Nothobranchius furzeri: one gene and its partner. The protein of the gene in region 1 purifies or fractionates together with the protein of each later gene. This does not show direct contact. Links are inferred from orthologs where the notes say so. Each region holds a gene or a part of one and is shown in the gene's direction. Other genes may lie near its edges.

Region 1 (5,458 bases):
CATATAGCCAGAATTTCACCACTACACATCCCTACTGTTGATACCACTTTACATTTCTGTTCCCCCTAAAAGACTACTTATTATGCTTATTACAAATATACAAATGCCAAAAGAGGGACTTAAAGTAGTATCATATAGATTGAGTTAATTTTAAATGGCTTGTTCATATGTTTAGGAATGCAAAATATATAAATAGTGAGACTCGGTCCTGCTGTTATCTTACAAATCAATGGTGACAGACTTTACACTTTAAACTGGGGCTCCCTTTGACATTTGTGGATATTTCATAATACAGTTATAAAATATAATAATATTTGCTAAAAGTATGTTTACAAATGCCCATTTAGCTAACAAGGCAGCAACTTAGTTTGAAATGTTTAAAATGGCAACTGTAGACAAAACATACAAGTGATTATATTTGGCTCACCATTTAGCAATTTTTGTCTCTTTCTTGCCCCCAATGACGATAAACACTTATAAAGAGTTACAGATGAATTAATTTCAACATATTTATTAACATTTACCAATCATTTATAAGGGGTGCCTTATTGTAAAGTGGTACCAACAATTATTTGGGGTTAGTTTGGAAAAATCCACCATTTCAAAGAAATAAGAAAACAAAGTACCGAAAAACTAATACCTGACTCTTAATTAGAGCTTGGTTTCAAAACTTGGTGCCTCTTCAGTCCGAAAATACTTAGTAGGTATTGGTATATTTTTGGTGCTAGACGTTGTGGTTTTGGCTTGGTTCAAAGTTAGCAGCCCTCTGCGGGCCCCTGGTGGCCCTATGCAATGCATGCCCTGCTTATTAACACACAATGCATCTATTTGAGCCGAAGTATGCACTGTCTTTAATCGTGAAAAAATAAAATAAAATAAATAAAAGCTGACCCGAGTCTACAACCTTTGTCCTCTGCTGCATCAACAGCAACAAGAAAAATAGCCAGGTCTCATGTTTACAGTGTACATAGTTTATCTCTTATTTACATTGTATGTTTATTCATTTTGTATTTATTTTGGGATCTAAATATTTTTATTTCATGTTTTTAGAGAAGATGTTTCATATGTCTTGCACCAAAGAATATATAATAGTTGCACTTTATTTTCATACTGTTAACCTTTGCTTTGTACTAAAAGCTAAATACTACCTTTTCCTATTTATAAACTGTATATATATATAAACTATTACATTTTTAAGATGACAGTAAAAAATGTTGCTTCCACCATTTAGACAAGCCTCTCTCAGTTAAGTGGATACAATATGCATATATTGGCAAACATACAACAAGGTACCCCCTGGTACAGAGTTTGCTCAGAGTAAGGAAACAACTTGATATGTTAATATGAGATTAGTAATCTTGTATTAGGAAATACCTGGCTAAAGGTGAGCAGTAAGCATCACGAGGGCCTGCAAAATTCATGGTTCCCTCTTCGAGAACTGTCCGCCCAGGCAAAAACTTTAGACTGTTTGGATTTGGAGTATCCTGTGTCTGCACAAACATGGACCTTCCTGTAACATAAAAAATGTAATGCAAATTTTTAAAAAGGGCTACAAGAGAATTGTGGTCATTTTCTGCATGTGCAGAATGCCCGATTTTCTCACAACACCTAAGCATCTGACATCACTGTGGAAAACGTGACAATAAAAGACAATCACTCTTATTTAATAAAAAGTCACACTAGAGGTTGCAGCAAATAAACAAACCAGGAACAGTCCAGAAGGGGTTTTGTGGCCATCTGTTTGAAACTCCAGTAGCTTGCGAGGGCCAGTGGAATCCATTGCTCTGACATCCACTGCCAACAAGACTGAAAATAATGAACAGATAAACAGTAATATAAAAAAAACATTCTTTATTATAAAAAATATTATGCTGTTGTGTGTAGGGACGATTTCTTTACCGTCACTAAAATGTGGCAATAATAAGACGGGTAAACTCCTGTTTAGAAGATGTGCGAACAAGCTCCTACACTGAACAGGAACACCAAATCAAATACAAATGCTATAACTAAGGAAAGCAAAACATTAATAAAAAGGCAATGGCGCGATGACAGAGTTGTTTCAGCACGCTTTAAAAACGCGTTCTGCACATTTGTTCTGGTGATTTGTATTTTTTCCCCTACTAAATAAAAATGATCAAAAAGATGGATGCAAGATAAAAATTTATTACATTTATGCAGGTTTGTTTAGTGTTAATTTTACTTTAAGGGCATTTTTGATGGGAAAAAACATCGTAATGAAACATTCCTCGTTTCCAGACCTAATGTTTAGTCTGCGTCATTCCACACTAAACCAACAAGCTTAAACACAGTCGCATAGAAATGACTCACATGTTGCAAAAAGTAAAAGAAAAAAAATTAAACACAATAGAAGGTAAAATCCTGCAAAATATCCACTTACGGTCGTGAAAGTCTAGCAGAAATCCCCAACAACCCGCTAACGTGTTTATAAGCCGCCATGATTGTTATGGTTGTGATCCTTCAAGAAGAACGGAAGTAGATTATACTTTTCCGGAAGTGACGAATATTTTTGTACGTCTGTTAAAGTTTCCCCCCGAAATTATCAGCGTCAAGCTTACGCGCAGTAAGGCGCTGCTTCTTCAAATATTTACGTTAAACTATCTAAATATGCCTTGTGGTAGGCATTTTAGAAGAAGACAAGATTCGTCGGATGATGAAGAGGAGGATGAAACAACAGAAGAAGTCAGGTAAAATACTCGAACAACGAGTTGTTAAGATATATGTTGTGTTAGCAAACTAGCCGCTAACCCAAAATTAAAGTAACAGAACGCCATTGTTGTTAGTTGTATTTTAATAAGCTGCCTACCTAAATATGTTTGTGCTTTTGTATTTTTTTTTCTTAGATCAAAAGTAGAAGAGGCTAAAGAACTTCAGAGTTTGAGGAAACGACAGAGCGGAGTCAGGTAACATGTTAATATGAATGTAGAATGGAAGACATCTTTATTATGTAGCACGTTTCACACAGAAGCAATTAGTTGTGCTTAATGTCAATACTTAACTGCTTGGATGTGAATTAACTTACACCTTTTACTTTTTGTCTAGTGTGACAGCTTTATTGGTGGGAGAGAAACTGCCTCCAGAAGTCGAAATTGATGTAAGTTTTCTTTGGAAAAAAAAATGTGTGTGTGTGTTGAATAGCAACATGTTGAACGTTTACTTTTTTATTGATCACTTCTGACAGAATGATCCTTTCAAACTGAAGACGGGAGGAGTTGTAGACATGAAGAAAGTGAAAGACAGGAATAGAGACATGTGAGTCAAGTTTTCCACCCTCAGGTGCAACATAGATACCTGCCTGAATGCTTTGTACAATTAAACCAAATCCAGTTAATCGGATATGACTGACTCATCCAGGATGATTCATTAACAGGACAGAAGATGAAACCGACCTCAGCCTGGGCACTTCATTCTCCGCCGAGACCAACAGAAGGGATGAAGATGCAGACATGTGAGCTTTTCTTTAAACTGTATTATAATCATTTCCTCTTCAGACTCAACATTGTCCAACCTCTATTTAAATTGTGCTCTGTTTTTTTCCTCTCTAACGGAAATTTCTGACTTTTGAGATAATTTTTCTCATGTCAAGAAATTCAATAATAAAAAAATTAAGAGGTGTGTGTAGGTCGTCAACATTCATGTCCCTTTAAGAAGCTGTACCACCCTGAGCCAAAATGTGACTCAACCTAACACATGTGACAGCCCCATCTAGGCCATATCGCCCAGCCCTAAAAGGAAGGTGTTCAGTTGATTTCCTCCGTCTGGCAAAAAATATTCCATCATACATAATAAAGTTGAATTTCCACAAAGAAAACAAATTAAAAACAAGTTTGGTCCAACAATGGCTGCCCTGGACAAGAAATAACACTGGTGTTTACCTGGGTTTTCATCTCTTTAAACAACTAAAATAGTGTCAGTATTTGTCAGAAATCAAATTTTGCTCAACAAAACAATTTATGCACCAACCCCTGAATTAACCAGCTGTTAATGTTGACTGTAAAATCAGTCAAACTACAAAGACTGCTTTTGTCTGAGATGAAATGGTGTTGGAACTTTTGTTAGCATGTTACTGGCTGGCTTCATTCAGCATTTTAAGAAAAGGCTTTTTATTCTACTAAAGAAAGTTGGAAAAGCAATCTCAATTCTTGAATTACATGAACTTTGTTACTAAATATTTAAGTATCTACAAGTTAGTATTCAAAATCTTAACGTAGCTGCCATCCAGTTGTTCGTGTGGGACATTTCCCATTGTGTTTTTCTTTACAGGATGAAATATATTGAGACAGAGTTAAAAAAGAAGAAAGGCCTGGTGGAGGCTGAGGAACAGAAAATTAAGGTGAAAAATGCAGAGGACCACCTGTACGAACTTCCTGAGAACATCCGAGTGAACTCTGCCAAGAAGACAGAGGAGATGTTGTCCAATCAGATGCTGAGTGGGATCCCGGAGGTTGACCTTGGCATTGAGTAAATTCAGAAGATTCTTTAATAATTCAGCTCTTTTTATTTTACTCAAATTAATCCCTGTCGTTTCATTCTCAGTGCAAAGATTAAAAACATTATCCAGACAGAAGAGGCAAAAGCCAAACTTCTGGCAGAGCAAAGGAACAAGAAGAAAGACCTCGGGACGTCGTTTGTTCCCACGAATATTGCTGTTAATTATGTCCAACATAACCGCTGTGAGTTCAGGCTGTCTGCATCCGTTCCAGCTAGAGGAGAAAAGTTTGTTAATCATGCTTTTGTTTTCTTTTAGTCTACCATGAGGATGCAAATGCACCACAAAGGCACAACAGACACAGAGAAGAGCCCAAAGCAAGACCGCTGCGAGTGGGCGACACAGAGAAGCCAGGCCCAGAGGGTACGAGACACGACCACACAGTCACAGATACAAACCAAAAACACTTTTTGGTTCCTTTTTTCCAGAAACCAAAACCTGTACTCGTTTCTTTTGTCTGTCCGTAGCTCCGTCGCCACCGAACCCACGCAAACGTCCAAACAACGAGAAGGCCACGGATGACTACCACTACGAGAAGTTTAAGAAGATGAACCGAAGATATTAAAAAGTTGCATCTGTTTCCTCCACACAATGGCATCTGAAAATGTGAGCCGTTGCTAATTATTATTGAAAACATTTGTTGACCAAAATGTTGAAGCTCCAGATTTGTGTGATTTCCTGTTTGGTTTTTCAAACAAGTCAGCAGCTTTAGCTTCACTCTAAGTCTACAGTATTTTAGAGCTGGCTGTTCAATTATTAAGTGTGTAAAAATATATCTCGGTTTGTTTTTTTAAAACAAGAACCATACTAAAGTTTAAAAGTGATGCACTTAGCTAATGAGATGGAATAACTAGAGCAGCTGCTTGAAAATGAGACGTTAAGCAATAAAAAACCCAAAGCTGAACTGTTGGCTGCCATGTTTATCTTAAAAATAAAAAGTAGCTAATTTAA
Region 2 (5,326 bases), on another chromosome or scaffold:
CAAACGGACATTAAACGGTGCTTTTGTACAAAAGAAAGAAAAGCCCCAAACTCAGCATTGAGTAAAACCGGTCTCTTGTAAGACTTTTGATGGATTTTTTTCTTTTACTTTAGACTTTTGCAGTTATTCTGCTACTGATGTTTAGGCGTTTCTAACGTCCTTCTGTGTTTTATTTAATTGTAAGCTTGCACTGAGACAGAACTGTGATGATCAAGTAAAACTTGAAAATCGGTGGCAGAAGGACCTCAAGTAAAAAAATAATCCCTGAAGAAGTTCAGAAAACAAATCAGCTGAACAAGACAGATGGAGGGTTTCTAGGAAACATGACCCCTTAGAATAAAACTCTGAAGATGTTTTAAAAGCGTTTGCACCGAATCTATGAAGATATGCTACTTGATTGTAATGATTTTAGCTCATAGAAAATTATTCGCTTATTGCTACAAGTTCTGTAGTCATTTTGTCCAAATTCTCAAATCATAGATGTTTAGTGCCACCTTGCAGTTATTTCTTGCAACAACACATTTGAAATGTTTGGCCTGGGCTCTGCGGTATCTTAGCTGTTCCCAGATCTGCACTTTTCTGGACTGAGATGTCTGATGTTTTTCCTGGGATCTGCCTAAGCTACTCCTCCAGTCTGGGGCTTACTTCCACAAGTGTTCCGATGACCACGGGCACCACCGATGTCTTCACTCTCCAGACTTTCTCAGGTTCTTCTTTGAGGCGCTGGCACTTCTCTAGTTTGTCGTGTTCCTTTTTCCTGATGTTGCATCACTTGGTATTGCCACAATAACCACAACGGCTGTCCTCTGTTGATTGTCCACCACCGCAATGTCTGGTTGGTTCTCCATCACCATTTTGTCAGTCTAGATCTGGAAGTCCCACAGGAGCTTGGCTCTTTTGCTCTCAACCACCTTAGGGGGTGTTACCCACTTTGACCTTGGGGCTTCCAGTCCATACTCTGCCCAGATGTGTCTGTACACAATTCCAGCCACTTGGTTGTGGCGTTCCATCTTTGTTTTCCCTGCCAGCATCTCACGCCCTGCAGTTATGTAGTGAATTGTCTCAGAAGCCTCTTTGCATAGCCTACACCTTGGGTCTTGCCTGGTGTGGTAGATCTTGGCCTTTGTTGCTCTGATGTTCAGGGCCTGTTCCTGTGCAGCCACGATGAGTGTCTGCTGTCCTTCAGACCAGCTCTTTCTAGTCGTAGGATTTCTTGATATCTGCCACTTCGGTTATCTGTCGGTGGTACATCCCATGTGTGTTTGTCCTCCCGCGATGGTATTTCTGGTGTCTCCTCCTCTTTTTGCCATTATCTGAGACATTCACTGGCCACATCATCCGTTGGGGCCTTATCCTTGATGTGCTTATGCATCATGGATGTTTCATCTTGTACACACACAAACACTTGTCTGTCTTCCTTTCATAGTGAAGACCCTCCATTGACTTCCATTCATTTTTGTGACTCCAGTATGCCTAACCCATACCCTAACCCTAACCAATACTGATCTATTCCTAACCCTAACCGTAACCTTAACTAAAACTTAATTCCGACCATACCTCTAAAACCAACTGGTAAGCTTCTAAAAAGGTGAGGACCAAAAAAATGTTGTCACTTTGAAAAATGTCCTCACATTGTAGGGAAAATGGTCCTCACTATGTAGTATGTACAAGAACACACACACACACACACACACACACACACACACACACACACACACACACACACACACACACACACACACATTTAATTTTTTACTTTGCTGTTTCACATCTTAGCCACTGGAGGGCAGAAACTACTCTGTTACAACTTTCAAGAACCAACGTCTTTATTTATTATTTGTTTTGTTTATTTATTTGCCAGGCTAAGATGAAAACTACTCGGGATTTTTATTTTGTTTTAAAGTTCTATTCAAAATAGCAATAACGAAGCCCGGGGATGAGCGTTTTATGGTCTTTAAGCTTGTTGCAGTGATTTGTTTGTTCAACAGGTGGAGACGGTGGAGACTGACGTTGAAATTAAACAGTAGAAGAAGAAAACCGGCAGTGACGTATTGTGCGCATGGAGCTTAATGAATGATTTTGTCTCCTTTCAAAACCAGCTTTTTATCGTTTTGGAACAAACATTTCATTTGCCAAATTTGCAGTAGATTACAAGTAAGTATATTTAGTTTATATTTAGTTACATATGAGTTACAGCTTTGTTCTGGAGTTTGATATTAGCTGAAGGATCAGTAACGTAGCTCCGACGTCACTGCGGTCCGTTTATTTTGTCGCTTGTTAGCCTGCTAGCATGCTAAAGTGTGGCTGGATTATGTGATCAAAACGAGATACCTCGGATTAAGCTCTTTGGATAGTTTGCTATAAGGTACATAAAACGTACAGAATGCAGTTGAAAAACGCCGCATTTGCATTATGAAGTATTGGCATTAGCTGCAATAACAGATGTCAGACTGTCTCTCACTTCTCCCCTGCTTCTCAGTTGTTATGTTAAAATAACCACAACGTGTATTACTCGTAAAAATCCGATCTCATCTCATCTAATCTGATCATCAGCCCTTTAGAAGATGGAGGCAGATTTGTATGACGAGTTTGGCAACTACATCGGTCCAGAGCTGGACTCTGACGATGATGACGATGAACTGGATGCAGAAGACAGAGATGTTGATGAGGTACTTTATACACTTGTACACACTTTGTAGTACTTGTATGTTTAGGGGTTTGTGCTCATCTGTCATGTACTCGCATTGGACAGGGAGATGATGATGATGATGATGATGAGCATGGAGATGCTGATGAGGATGTCCCCGGCATGGAGGTGGTCCTGCATGAGGACAAGAAGTACTACCCCACAGCAGAGGAGGTTTATGGCCCAGAAGTGGAAACTATTGTCCAGGAAGAAGACACGCAGCCTCTCACAGGTTAGTGACCTCCTTCCACATGCTGATTTACAGTCGTGTGCAGTTGGCTTGAATGTGAGGTACATTTATGTCAAATATTGGGAAAAATGTACATACTTTCCATCAATGTTATTTAAAAATGAACAATTTTAGCACATTTACATGTGAGGCAGCTCAATCTGAGCTGAGTGGGGTAGTTGAGATCCCACACCCACTACAGACCGACAGGCTGATTAAAGTTCATGCATGCCTGCTAGTGGGAGCCTGATTGGCACGGGTACAATCTGCCAGTGGCATCTTAGTGAATGCGTGTTTCACTATGGATGCAGTGGGTAAACATCTACGCTGACTGCTGTTCGGACCGGCCTTGAGAGCGAGATGACTGAGGAGGAGCTTCATGCCAGAGTATTCAAAAGCAACACTGCTCATGCCAACTTTTGTTTACTAGTGACGCCTAAAGCTGGATTTATACTTCTTCATCTATGTCGGTACGGAGACACGCAACGCCTTTATGCGTCAGTGCAAGGGTTCTCCGACAGGCTCACAGAGGGTGACGGAGACACGCCCAAAATTTTAAACATCCGTCGAAAGTGATGGAGACCGCCAGCTTGTGATTGGTCAGGACGTCACTTCCTGTAAATTTGTCAACAACTCCGTTAAAGAGTAAAAAGATATTTAACGGCAGACCCACTGGTTAAAAAGCTATGTAGGGAACAGGAAACAATATGTACAAGTAAATGAATACATATCTGATTTGATGGATATAGCTTGTGGAGTACCTCAAGGTTCAGTACTGGGACCAAAATTGTTTATTATGTACTTAAATGATATCTGCAGAGTATCACAAATTTTAAAGTTTGTAATATTTGCTGATGACTCAAATTTACTGTGTTCAGTTGTGGAATTGCCACAGGTCTTGGAGTTGATCACACAGGAATTAATGGTATTGAAAAAGTGGTTTGATATAAATAAATTATCATTGAATCTAGATAAAACCAGATTTATGTTATTTGGTCACCAAAAGAATTACATCAAAATTGACATTTGTGTGGATAATGTATATTTAGAAAGAGTTAATGAAATAAAATTTCTTGGTGTGATCATTGACCGTAAGCTCTGTTGGAAGCCACACATCACTTATGTTCAGGGGAGATTGGCACGGGTCGTTGCCATCCTGGGGAAAGCAAAGAAGATGTTGGATCAGAAAGCGTGGCACATATTATACTGAGCTTTACTTCTGCCATACATGAGTTACTGTGTAGAGGTCTGGGGAAACGCATACAAAAGCAACATACAGACGATAACTATAATACAGAAAAAGGCCATTAGAATAATAAATAATGTGGGGTACAGGGACCATACGAATGCACTCTTTGTCGAAATGCAAACTATTAAATTACAAGACTTGGTGAAGCTCAAAACAGCGCAAGTAATGCATAAAGTAAAATAAATTGCTTCCAAAAGAAATCTGTTTATTGTTCAAAGAAAGAGAAGGTGGGTATAACTTTCTTCTTTCTTCTTCTTTAGGTCTTAATTTCGGTTTATAGCATTAACATAAAATTTTTCTTTTCAAACCAAACAACAATATTAACAACTTGAATTTAAACCAAAAAAGGAATAGGCAGAAGCAATGCTTATTTTAGCCTACCCTATTTTCCACCTAAGATACATAACCAATATACATTTCTTTTATTTTCCCCAATATAAATAACCACAATGAAAATTCATTAATGTCTATACATACTTTTCATACCCTGTAAGTATGTGACACTTCACACCTGCTTTAAACTTTAGTAAGGAAGTACATTTCTTCAAATCATCATCTAACTCATTCCACAATTTCACACCAACAACGGAAACATCTTGATTTCACATTAGTTCTGGCTTTTACACATTCAAACATAAATACACCTCTGAGATTATAATGATCATCTCTTGGTTTGAAATAAACTTTTATGCAATTTGGGATATTATTATTAACTACTTTATGAAGAATCTCTAAGATTTTTACTTTAATAATATCTCCTAATTTTAGCGTTTTAGTTTGACTAAATAGATTATGGGTTGGTTCGAGGTATCCCGATTTATTAGCTATTCTAATCGCCTTTTTTTGTAATTTAAATACAGTCTCAACACACGTTTTACCTGCATTTCCCCAAACCTCTGCACACTAAGACAAATAAGGCATAACTAAAGAGGAATAAATCAAAAACAAGGCTTTTTTTATTTAGTACATCACTAGTTTTATTAAGTATAGCAATAGATTTAGACACTTGCTGTTTGATATATTCAATATGTGGTCTCCAACTGAGTTTACTATCAATAATCACACCTAAGAATTTAGTTTCATATACTTGTTCAATTGGGACTCCATTTAAATACAGCTTAGCACCGTCATTGTCCCTGTTCCCTGAAAATATCATAAATTT

The links. The genes of interacting proteins can lie anywhere in the genome.
Region 2: the proteins of c17h9orf78 (region 1) and eftud2 purify together in Homo sapiens (affinity purification with mass spectrometry; 3 studies listed by BioGRID and IntAct, with this or other methods). This does not show direct contact. The link is inferred for Nothobranchius furzeri from reciprocal best matches to the Homo sapiens genes C9orf78 and EFTUD2.

What each region holds. Positions count from the first base shown.
Region 1 is NC_091757.1:40,165,718-40,171,175, reverse strand, and holds c17h9orf78 (splicing factor C9orf78 homolog), read left to right. Parts: upstream 1-2,526; 5' UTR 2,527-2,625; coding exon 2,626-2,705; intron 2,706-2,861; coding exon 2,862-2,921; intron 2,922-3,060; coding exon 3,061-3,112; intron 3,113-3,199; coding exon 3,200-3,270; intron 3,271-3,388; coding exon 3,389-3,466; intron 3,467-4,281; coding exon 4,282-4,479; intron 4,480-4,554; coding exon 4,555-4,691; intron 4,692-4,765; coding exon 4,766-4,870; intron 4,871-4,974; coding exon 4,975-5,072; 3' UTR 5,073-5,411; downstream 5,412-5,458. Other genes in the region: NFU1 iron-sulfur cluster scaffold homolog, mitochondrial, read right to left, coding at 1,375-1,510, 1,706-1,806, 2,399-2,457. UniProt on the Homo sapiens protein: Plays a role in pre-mRNA splicing by promoting usage of the upstream 3'-splice site at alternative NAGNAG splice sites; these are sites featuring alternative acceptor motifs separated by only a few nucleotides. May also modulate exon inclusion events.
Region 2 is NC_091745.1:13,646,894-13,652,219, reverse strand, and holds the start of eftud2 (116 kDa U5 small nuclear ribonucleoprotein component), read left to right. Parts: upstream 1-2,016; 5' UTR 2,017-2,154; intron 2,155-2,553; 5' UTR 2,554-2,564; coding exon 2,565-2,669; intron 2,670-2,752; coding exon 2,753-2,918; intron 2,919-5,326. UniProt on the Homo sapiens protein: Required for pre-mRNA splicing as component of the spliceosome, including pre-catalytic, catalytic and post-catalytic spliceosomal complexes. Component of the U5 snRNP and the U4/U6-U5 tri-snRNP complex, a building block of the spliceosome.